2 linked regions of the Oryzias latipes genome follow. The protein of the gene in region 2 interacts with the protein of the main gene of each other region in a pairwise test. Links are inferred from orthologs where the notes say so. Each region holds a gene or a part of one and is shown on either strand. Other genes may lie near its edges.

Region 1 (5,228 bases), on a different chromosome or scaffold from region 2:
TCAGGGTGAGGAAGGTTTTGCAGCAGATCTTGCAGGCGTACTTTCGAGCCCCTTCCACGACCAAGACGTTGTGCTCCGAAAGGGCCTTCTTGCACTTTGACAGGACATCTGCTGAAGCCCGGGTCAGCTGAGGCGGGAGGGAGGTGGGCCGGCCGCCGTTCATCTCATAACCCCCACTCTCGTTCAGAAGCAGAGGACTTGTTAGGTTGGAGGAAGGTGACGCCGGGTCTTGGACTCTTCCTTCACCTCCTATGCCAGAGTTCATTTTAGGAGCAATACGTCTGTAGCTTGGATAACTCAGGGTGGAAGCGGAAGCACTTCCCATCCCTCTTGAGGGTCGCCCCAGGGAGTGAAGTCCTAAACTGGAGCGCTGGAAGTCCAGAGCAAAAGGATCCACTCCTCCACGTCCAGCACTCCCACTGCTCCCTCTGAGGCCTCCTAAGTTCTCATAAGGAGGCTGCAGGAATAGAGAATCTGGCTGCAGGTTGTCTCCAAAGCCGTTTCTGCTCTCGCCACTTAGCGTGCCCGACTGAATAAGAGAGGACGACGCGGAGGAAGACGGCCCAGCAGCGTCGTGTCTCATCAGGAAGCGATGAGCAACTGCCTCCCCGGTGGTTGTGTTAGGAAGGTCATCCTCTCCAGAAACCAACCCTGACCCACCTCTCCCGAAGTCTTTAGAGCTGAGAAAGTTCGAGATATTAAAATTAGAACTGCTACTCAGCCCATTGTTACTGCCAAACCCCCCCGTGACACCCATTCCTCCTCCCATGCTGCCCTTGAGGAGGAGCTGGGAACTGGAATGGAGCAGAGACTCGGAGCTGGGCTGGGGGTCGGAGGTGAAGCTGCGGTCGCTGCCCTCTGGGCTCAGCTCCACCTTCTCCTCTTCCTCCTGGCAGCCGGGCTCTGCCGGGTCGCTGCCTTCAGCCTGGGACGTCACATCGCTGTTTTCGTCTACAGGCTCAGGTGAGCTGAGAACCTCTCGCTTGACCACCACCTGACAAAAAAAATTAAAAAATGTTTCCACTGTGATGAAAGTTGAGCTGTTTACCGAAGGAAAAAAACGAATATTATGTAGAAACATTAAAATCCCCCCCAAAAAGGAAAAACTGGAAACTAATAAGAAAAAAACTTTATGTGCATCCTTTTTACCTTCCGCTCTTCATCTTCCCCCTGCTCTTCCTCGTTCCCTGACTTTATTTTTACAGTGGCTCTGCTGGCCTGCTGATCCTGGTCACCCATGTCCTCTTCCTTGTTTACTCCTCCTGGAATCCTCACCGAGTTCTCCCCTTCAGAGCGTCCACTGTCTGACTGACTCGGCATCTGAGGGTCATCTTGAGCCACAGCTACAAACCCTGTGATGCCGGCGCCTAGCTTAGAATCATCCCCCGGTTTGTGGGAGTCCGGCGAATGAAGCGCTGCTTCATCCTGATCTGCATTTTCGCCGTCTTCCTCCAACAAACCTAGGTTGGCGCCCCCTGAGGTCCGCTGCCTTTGTCTGGGTCTCTCCTCTGAAATTGTCAGCGCTAGAGACGGCTTTCGTTTGTGGAATCGACGGACTGGGAATGAGGCCCGCTGGTCGACCGCTCTGTTGCTCACGCCGCCTTCCTCCATTCCTCCTAAAGCGGAGCTCACCAAGCTGAGCCCCAGCTGCTGCAGCAAGAAGGAGCGCTGCACCTTCGACGTGGCAGCGTTTCCTGTGAGGCTTGTGTTACCCGCTGAAGCTGGGTTCCCTCCCAAGTCCGCCTGCTGCTGCCTGTGCCTTTGCTGCTCCTGTTGAGAGTGGTGATGGGCCGGCCTCTCAGAGGAGGGCGACACAGGCAGTGTGCGTGTGGTTAGGTAGTGCTTGCAGGCTTTTACGACATTGTTGAGGTGCAAATGTGAGGCGGCGAGGAGGATATCCATGACGTTACTCTCCCCCAGCATCAGCGTCGACGTGTACATCATGTCCACCAGGGCAGCAAATGCCTCAGCCGTGACCACCTGCAAACAGGCAGTTTGTTATCATGATATTAACTCACAGCAGAGCCAGTGCTCGCTTCAGGTCCAAACCTCGCTGTCCAGCTGGATCATATTCATGCTAGCATCTCCCTCGGCGACGGTGAAGAGCGCTCTGAAGTGGGTGCTGCAGGCTGCAAGAACAGAGCGGTGGGCTTTGAAGTGTCGGCTGCCCACCACTATGATGCAGTCGCACAGCTGACCGTGCAGCCGCTGATAGTTCAGCTGCTGGAATATCTGCTCAAAGTGTCCCGGGAAGTCCATGGCTCTGCTGACAAATCAGTCCAAAGGAGGAGGAGAAGGAGACAAAAGTGAGAAGGACGTGGACATCAATGATTTCACAGGGGGCTGCCCAACAGATCTACCACCTTGACTGTTTCCCAGCTCTCCCTGCTCCCTGGATCATCAGGTGTGTTTAGCCACTCAGAATGTGAAGTTACTCAGAATGTGAAGTTAAGTTAATCAACAAGACAACAAGTCTTAGAAACATTCTGGCTTTTTGGGCTGACTTCAATATGTCATTATCAGTGCAAAACACACACATTTGACTTCCTTTTGACTATTTAACATAGACATAACTAAGGAAAGAATTTGAAGGTCAGTAGATTGGGGGTTTAAATCCAAGACTACACAGTCAAAAGTGTCCTTGGGCGAAACACTTAACCTCACGTTGCCTTGGATTGTAATAAACTAGTGAGTCACTTTGGTTAAAAGCGTTTCCAAAGACTCAACATATAACACACACAAAAGAAGGAAATTTAAGTAAGCTAGCTAATTTTTTTTTCAGAATAATTGATTTAATTTTATAGAATTCTGTGGCCTAAAATAGAATTCAATATCTTACTATGCGATAACCGTGTTGTAACATTTATTACATTCAAAAACTTTGGGTAATTAGTCGTTTTAAATTCCCCAAACTTTATATTTTTTTATCGCAACTTGATGATAGAGAATTCGGTTACTGCAAAACAGACCTTAAAGAATAGCTTGCAAGTTTAAACTGGACAATCATGTGGGTTATAAACAATAAATAACATATACTAGATTTTAAAAATGTCAAATAGCACAAATTACCTTTAAGTCTTCCAAAAAGTGTGTCCCCGAAGGAAAAAAATTGAGAAAATATTCAGGGAAAAAAAGTGAAGAGGCTAGTAGTGAGTCTCGTTAGCAGCCGCGCGGCTAGCCAACTCCTTCTAGCTATATAGCAGCACCAGCGGGTGCATTAGGTCTCCCCAAAAGATCGTCTCCGCCGACACCCTTTCCCCCACAAAATGTCCCCTCAAGTGCAGCTACCTATGGCTAACCCTTCCATTGCGGTGTTCATAACATCTCCTCTAAGCCACTTCCTCGTAGTTCTCCAATACAGTCTGAACGGCGTAGTAGTTCAACTGTCGAGAAGAAGGGAGTTGCGATGGTCGTTAGCTTTAGGATGACCGATGAGCAGGATACAACTTCAGAACAATATCATAATACCGATGATCTGGTGTGTTTCCGGCGCTTACCAAGCAGCACGTTTTGCTTAATCTATACGAACATTTATTCAGACGGCTTTTTTTCCCCATCCAGACTCACAGGGTGGCGCTGCTGCACCTTGATTGAAATGACCTCGTTGAGGTAAAGCGCAGCAGTTTGAATGATTCACCACAGGGTGTCGCTGTCGTTCGTAAGTGTCTAGGATGAAAACTATTGAGCGAAATGGTTTTAAATATCTACTTTATTAAGACAGGTGTTGTGAATAATATTTACGTGTATTTAGAAAAAAAATGTTTTTAGACAGCTTTAAGAAAAGACAAAAATTCGTCATTGACCAAATTCACTGAGCGTTACGTTTTACGTAAATACAGATGAGTGAGTCCTCTCGCTCCTTTCACAGATCACAACAACAATCATGGCCGCCTCGTGCAGGATGGTGTGCTGCGAGGAGGAAAGGGAGTCTGACAAAGCGATCATAGGTAATTATTCTCATCTCAGCCTTTTTGAAACAATAATCTCTAAAGCAGGCGAGCATACAGTCAGTATTTGAGTTATCTGTGTTGCATTCAAGTGTATAAAACTATTCCATTTTTCAGGAGTAATCAGAACACGTGAAAGTTACAAGGCAATATTCTCACACATAATCAACATTAACACGCCATTCTCTGTATTTTTTGCAGTCCGATTTTCGAATGGTTTCACCAGCAATGCAGAGGAACTGGATTTTGCCACATTCAAGAACATAGAAGAAAATAATCCGAGGAAAAAGATAAGGCGGATCGTGGTGAGAAATTGCGCATGCGTGCTCGCACACACCATAGTTTGCATGGAATTGATATATTTCAAGCAATCAATATAACATCACACTGAAGAAGAAATACAAATCCACTCATATGTTTATCAAACTTAAGATGGTTTGTCATTTTTTGATTGTAAAATAAAAAATGTTATAAGAGATGCATATCCATATATTTACAACCACACACACGTACATTATACCATAATAATTAAACAAAAATGACAGATTCGCATTCATTAAATATGTAACAGTTGTCTGTTCCATTTAGGTTGCTGAATCAGACAGGTTGTCTTATGTCGGGCAGAATTTTGGAGAAGATTTAATGAAATGCAATAATCTTTGCAGGTTTGTTATCATTACATTTTATATACATTAACATTTGATATAGACCTTTCGTATCCTTATCGAATGAGTTTTGTGATGCAATTATTTTCAGATATTATGTTGGAGTTTTGAATAAAGAAACCATGCAGATGGAGATACACAGCGCTCAGCTATTCAACATGCAACCTGTCATACCAGGTAAAAGAAATGCAATCCCCAAAACAATAACAAGCGATTTTTAAAGGAGGGCAATTTAGTAATGCCAGTTAATTTCCACCAGGAGAGGCAACACATGATGCAAAGCCTCAGGACACCACTCTGTCCTACAGGGAAAAGGTATGAGAAAAACAAGCTTTCTTTTGAAACAAACAAGCACACAGTGAAGTCATGTTTTTTTTTTCTTTCTCAAGGTTGACTCCTTGATTGAGGCCTTTGGCACGAATAAACAGAAACGAGCTCTGAGCTCTCGCAGGCTCAACCAGGTGGGCAGTGATGCTCTGCATCATGCAGTGGCTGAAGCTGCCAGCACTGTGATTGATAACAAGGGTCTGGAAGGTAAGCGTGAAGCTTTCAGCCTTTTGGAGTAATCTAGACAAGAAAATATAACTCAAATTCATACTGGACTTGCCATCATTTT
Region 2 (4,632 bases):
GACATCTGGGCCATTTCCACTTTAAATGGTGCATCCTGACATCAGAGTCTGCCTCAATAAAGCTGAGATGCCCCTGTCTGCAGTGCATCATAATGGCTTTTTATTTCAACTGTGTTCCACAACACTTTTCAGCTGAGATCAATCTAAGTTCTCTGGAGGAAAAAAAAAAAGATTTCTTAATGCAAAATGTTTGTGTGTAAAGTTGGAGAAGATCATCGTCAAATGTTGCCTTAAAATTAGACTAATCTGAGAGAAGGCACACGTGAAACCGGCTCCTCGTTGCAGTCATGGTTTCTGCTACAGACTAGAGAACCTGAGAGTCTGGACTATTTTGAGCCTGCGGAGTTGATCAGAGAGGCTGCCAGTCTGCAGGAGTGATGGTGGCACACCTCCCAAACAATGGCAAAGAAATGCAGTTGTATGTGGTGGTGTCTGTGAAGGTTAAGAGGAAGAAGATGAATGTGGTGAGATCCCAGGAGATGGAAGGAGGACAGACAGTATAATTAGCATCAAAAGAGGAAGAGGAGGGAGGGGGAGGGAAACTGCCTGACAGTACAAACGCAGAGGAAGCTTTTGGAGAGGTGCAGCAGTGTCTGGAGTATGTCTACTAATATGAAAAACACTGCTCCAGAATATAATGGGATTATAGTACAAAATAGAATTGCATATGAAGCTTTGCTTCACCATCTGACTGATGGATGCATTTCTAATCAGAAACAGAAGTGTTTGCAGCTTGTTTTTCCAGTTTGAAAATAAAGATCTTTTTTTGACTTTGTTTTGACAGAATGCCGGGTGATGAAAGGACCCAAAACCCCACGTGGTTCAGTGAAGAGTCCGGGTCTCATCAAACGCAGCAAGTCACCCACTGAATCCAGTGAGTCTATTATCTTGAGCACAGTGAATACTGACATTAAGACTGCTTTTTAAAAATAAAAATAAAAGGAAAAAAAATAAAAGGATGCCGATAACAATGGGGCACAATACATAGTGAACAGAACATTAGATATGAAAGTAGAGGGATGGAGCTCACCTTTGACCTTTGTCTAAGGGGGATGGTGAGGATTGGGGGATTATTCCTATTCAATAATGAATGAAAATAGATGACTGACTTGGTTAAAGATCCGCTCCATTGAAAATTCTTAACATGTTTTTGTGGCTTTTTTTTGATGGACATGTATAAAGAAAATAAAGGTCAAATTTGCATATCTGAGTATTTCTTTATTAAATCGTGGTGCATCTCGAGCAGATTAAAAAATGCCGTCTGAAGAAGCGTGTAGTTGTGACAAAGAAATTACAAATGGCAGGCCACAAGCTCCCTGCTCCGCTTTATTGTGATGGATCCACTTGTAGACGTCATGTACCTCCATGTGGCTCCAATATTGCTCGCCATTTTTGTTGCTGTGCCAGTTGTCCACCCACAACTCATAGGTGTTTTTTTTTTTTTTTTAATAAACTACTGCTACTATGCAGAAACTATATCCTAATAAACCACATAGAACACTTGACCTTGGGCTAAAAACACCATAGTCAAATGAACACTTGAAACGATTTTACAAAAGATGATTGGAGTGGTTCTTTAATGTCTAGTAAGGACAAATTTTTTGTGTCAGATGACACAATGTTTTCCTGCAATTTTTTTTGGTTTGAAAACCTTTGATAAAATCTCTCCAAAAAGAAATTTGACTGTCTAAAATTCAACATTTTTTATTCCTAAAACAAATTCTTTTACTAAGAATTAAGTCATTTAAAATTCTGCTTTTTTGTGGTTCTTTAATCTGAGTTGTAACGCAGTATGATGTGCCTTTTTACAAAGCTCTATGAATAAAACATAAGTAAACAAAAGCTCCTCTGAGCCATTTGTCAGAGAGGCAGGGGAGTTGAACATGACAATATCCAGAAGGCAGCAGATCATTGAGATTCTGCTGCTAGCTTTAAAGAGCTTTTGCATCTTTTAACAGATTCTACTCGTATCTGGTGGTAGCTTTGTAATTTGCTTTAAGAACAAATAAGCGTAAAGAAACTAGATGGATGTCTACTTAAGGACTGTGGAATTCTATTATTGGAGGTTTGATGAGGGATGATTGACAGTAAACACAGCTTATGGGCATTCAAGATGTCAGCTTTATCTATGAATCTGGAAGCTGAGGGTTCACAAATCTTGATAATGGGGTCACGGCACAGGAAACGTCTCACTTGCCTGGTAATTTTGACAAGTTTTCAATAATTCAAAAACAATTTCCTGACTGTTTCTGATATTACCACTTATCCAATGTTTTTTTTAATATAATTTCTTGCAAAAAGAAAAATTAAATTCGTTTTTTATTTTTATTTTTTTTACTGATTCTTTTACTGATGCATACAATATTTACAGAATCACAAAATGATCCATTCTACATCTATGTTTCTCTCTGAAGCATAACAGTTGCATGTGTTTTGTTTGCCCATTTTGCTCACATGCAGTAGGGAGAAGAGATGTCAGAAAAGGCTGAAGAGTCAGGAACTTTCATGTGCGATGAGGAAAACCTTTTTTTTTGTCTTTCAAGGCTCAGAATGTGATGACTGATCAAAACTCCTGCATGTTTTGTCTTGAAAGCTGCTTATTTTAAACCAACCTAGTTTCTAAAAATCAAGCAGTTTTAGCATTTTTCCTATCCTTGTGTGACTTTTCAGTGACAGTGAGGCGTTTTCCTCTTGTTGTATTCGGTGCCTTTTGGCATAAACGGAGACTCGCCATCTGGTTGCGAGTCTCCAGGCCTCCTTTCATCTTTCATGAACAAAAAGCCTTTTAAAGTGTTTAACTCACACGGCTAAATCACCTCACACTGCTCCAAAATACAAGCACAATGTCCCACACTGAGAGAATCCTAGCAACGAGACGCAACACTAAGTCTGTGAATACAGTGTGCACTGACAAACAGAACTCATCGGTTCAGTAGAGCTGGAGCTCCAGTCTGGCTTTATTTGTTGCCAAGTGAGGCCACAATAAAGGACCGACTCTTCTAAAGGGTTGAATCATCTTATGCATTGTTTAAGATACAAAGCTGACTTCATCTTTTACTCCTTCATCTGTCCTCTCCTGTATTGTCACTTTCAGCCAATGGGACCGGCTCCAGCAGCCAGATCTCCACCCCAATTTCCAAGAACTCCCCCACATCCACCCCAACTAGTCCAGGTCTGAACAACAAGCAGAAGGTACTGGTCCATTTCTCTGTAAACATGGTTATTTCTTAACACAGTCCTGATGCTCAGATCACGGATACCTCTGCTCTGTTTTCAGGATCTCTACCTGCCCTTATCTCTGGAGGATGATGATTCCCTTGGTGAATCCATGTAGACTCTCATCCTACGTTTGGCCTGAAACACTGAATTTTTTTTTCCCCCCTCTGCTGCTTTCAACCTTCCCTCACAGTGCCACTATTGAGGACAACCAGTTTTTGTTTTTTAAGGCCTTAAACACCATTCACTGCTCTGCAAAAATCTCTTTTGATCACATTAAAATCCTCTTTCGATTTCCAGAAAGGTTTTTTGCAGAATAAACAACTTCTTTCTTACTAATGTCACAGTTTAGTCACAGATTTCACTGTAAGTGCCCTTTTTCTTTAAAAACTTTTTAATCATTAAGCACACCAAATTTAGAATTTCACTCCAAATTTCAGGCAGCAAAGTTTTTTGTACAACATTTTTGTGATCATCCTCATATCCTTGTCGCTCTGCCCTAAGGATGACCTTCCCAAAGGACGTTTTTTTGTTTTTTACCCAAAATCTTTCTTACTTGCTGTAAATACGATGTATAGCCATCATACCATGTTTGCTCCGTGTTCATTGCTGTGCTTCCTTAATGTCAGAACATTTGCTCAACTCATCAGAGGGTTTGATTAAATAGAGGTAAAAGCTAAAGGAAGCTTAATGGTAGGAGTAGAATGCAAAACAGAGCCACACTTTTCAGACCAAAATCAGCAATGCCTGTGAGTCCATGTGGTGTGAAAAATTGCATTCAATCGGAAAGAAATCTTTTCTGGCATTTCCTCTATTTTGACGCTCTATGTAGACCGTAGACTACATGTGCTACCAAACCTTCATTAACTATTGTGCATGGATAGTTGATGAATGAAACTTGTCATGTTAAAAACTGTTTTGAAGGACCTAGAAGTGCGTTAAAAAAAACAACCAAAGGTGAAAAAGTAGGCCCTTTAAAAATACACCTTTTATTACAGTTTTTATACTAAATAAATCCCATTCTGTCTTTTTATCCCCCTTACCCTAATTTTCTCCTTCATGGCCATTTATGTGCAACTTGCAGTAAGATTTTTATACACGAGAGTTAAGTCTCAAAGCCAAAGTATGTGTCTTGACTACGGAAAAGAGGAGGAAAAGTTTGATGCTGGAGATTTTTCAGGAGGCGCACAAGAAGAATGAAGCATGCCATATTTTTTAAAGTCAAGATGACGTTATTGCATCACTTTTAGACGCTTTCATGACAACAGTGAGGTCTCCTCTTTTGTACTACTTGGCAATGATCTGCCGGGGATGAAGATGGCTTCTGTCTTAACCAGTGAAGGGTTTAAATTATATAAAATTTGTATCATTGTTAGTTCACATAGTTTGTATTTTTTTTCTCTTAACTTCACATAC

Evidence for each region. The genes of interacting proteins can lie anywhere in the genome.
Region 1: the proteins of dcx (region 2) and zinc finger and BTB domain-containing protein 5-like interact in binary tests that used the Homo sapiens proteins (3 or more experiments, as listed by UniProt). The two-hybrid records come from large-scale screens. The link is inferred for Oryzias latipes from reciprocal best matches to the Homo sapiens genes DCX and ZBTB5.

The regions. Positions count from the first base shown.
Region 1 is NC_019859.2:12,632,370-12,637,597, reverse strand, and holds the start of zinc finger and BTB domain-containing protein 5-like, read right to left. Parts: upstream 3,610-5,228; 5' UTR 3,070-3,609; intron 2,267-3,069; exon of another isoform or gene 2,264-2,266; 5' UTR 2,260-2,263; coding exon 2,050-2,259; intron 1,981-2,049; coding exon 1,150-1,980; intron 995-1,149; coding exon 1-994. Other genes in the region: polr1e (DNA-directed RNA polymerase I subunit RPA49), read left to right, coding at 3,629-3,658, 3,869-3,947, 4,149-4,252, 4,536-4,612, 4,704-4,789, 4,872-4,927, 5,002-5,146. UniProt on the Homo sapiens protein: May be involved in transcriptional regulation.
Region 2 is NC_019872.2:14,738,983-14,743,614, reverse strand, and holds part of dcx (neuronal migration protein doublecortin), read left to right. Parts: intron 1-784; coding exon 785-874; intron 875-3,094; coding exon 3,095-3,192; intron 3,193-3,277; coding exon 3,278-3,334; 3' UTR 3,335-4,632. UniProt on the Homo sapiens protein: Microtubule-associated protein required for initial steps of neuronal dispersion and cortex lamination during cerebral cortex development. May act by competing with the putative neuronal protein kinase DCLK1 in binding to a target protein.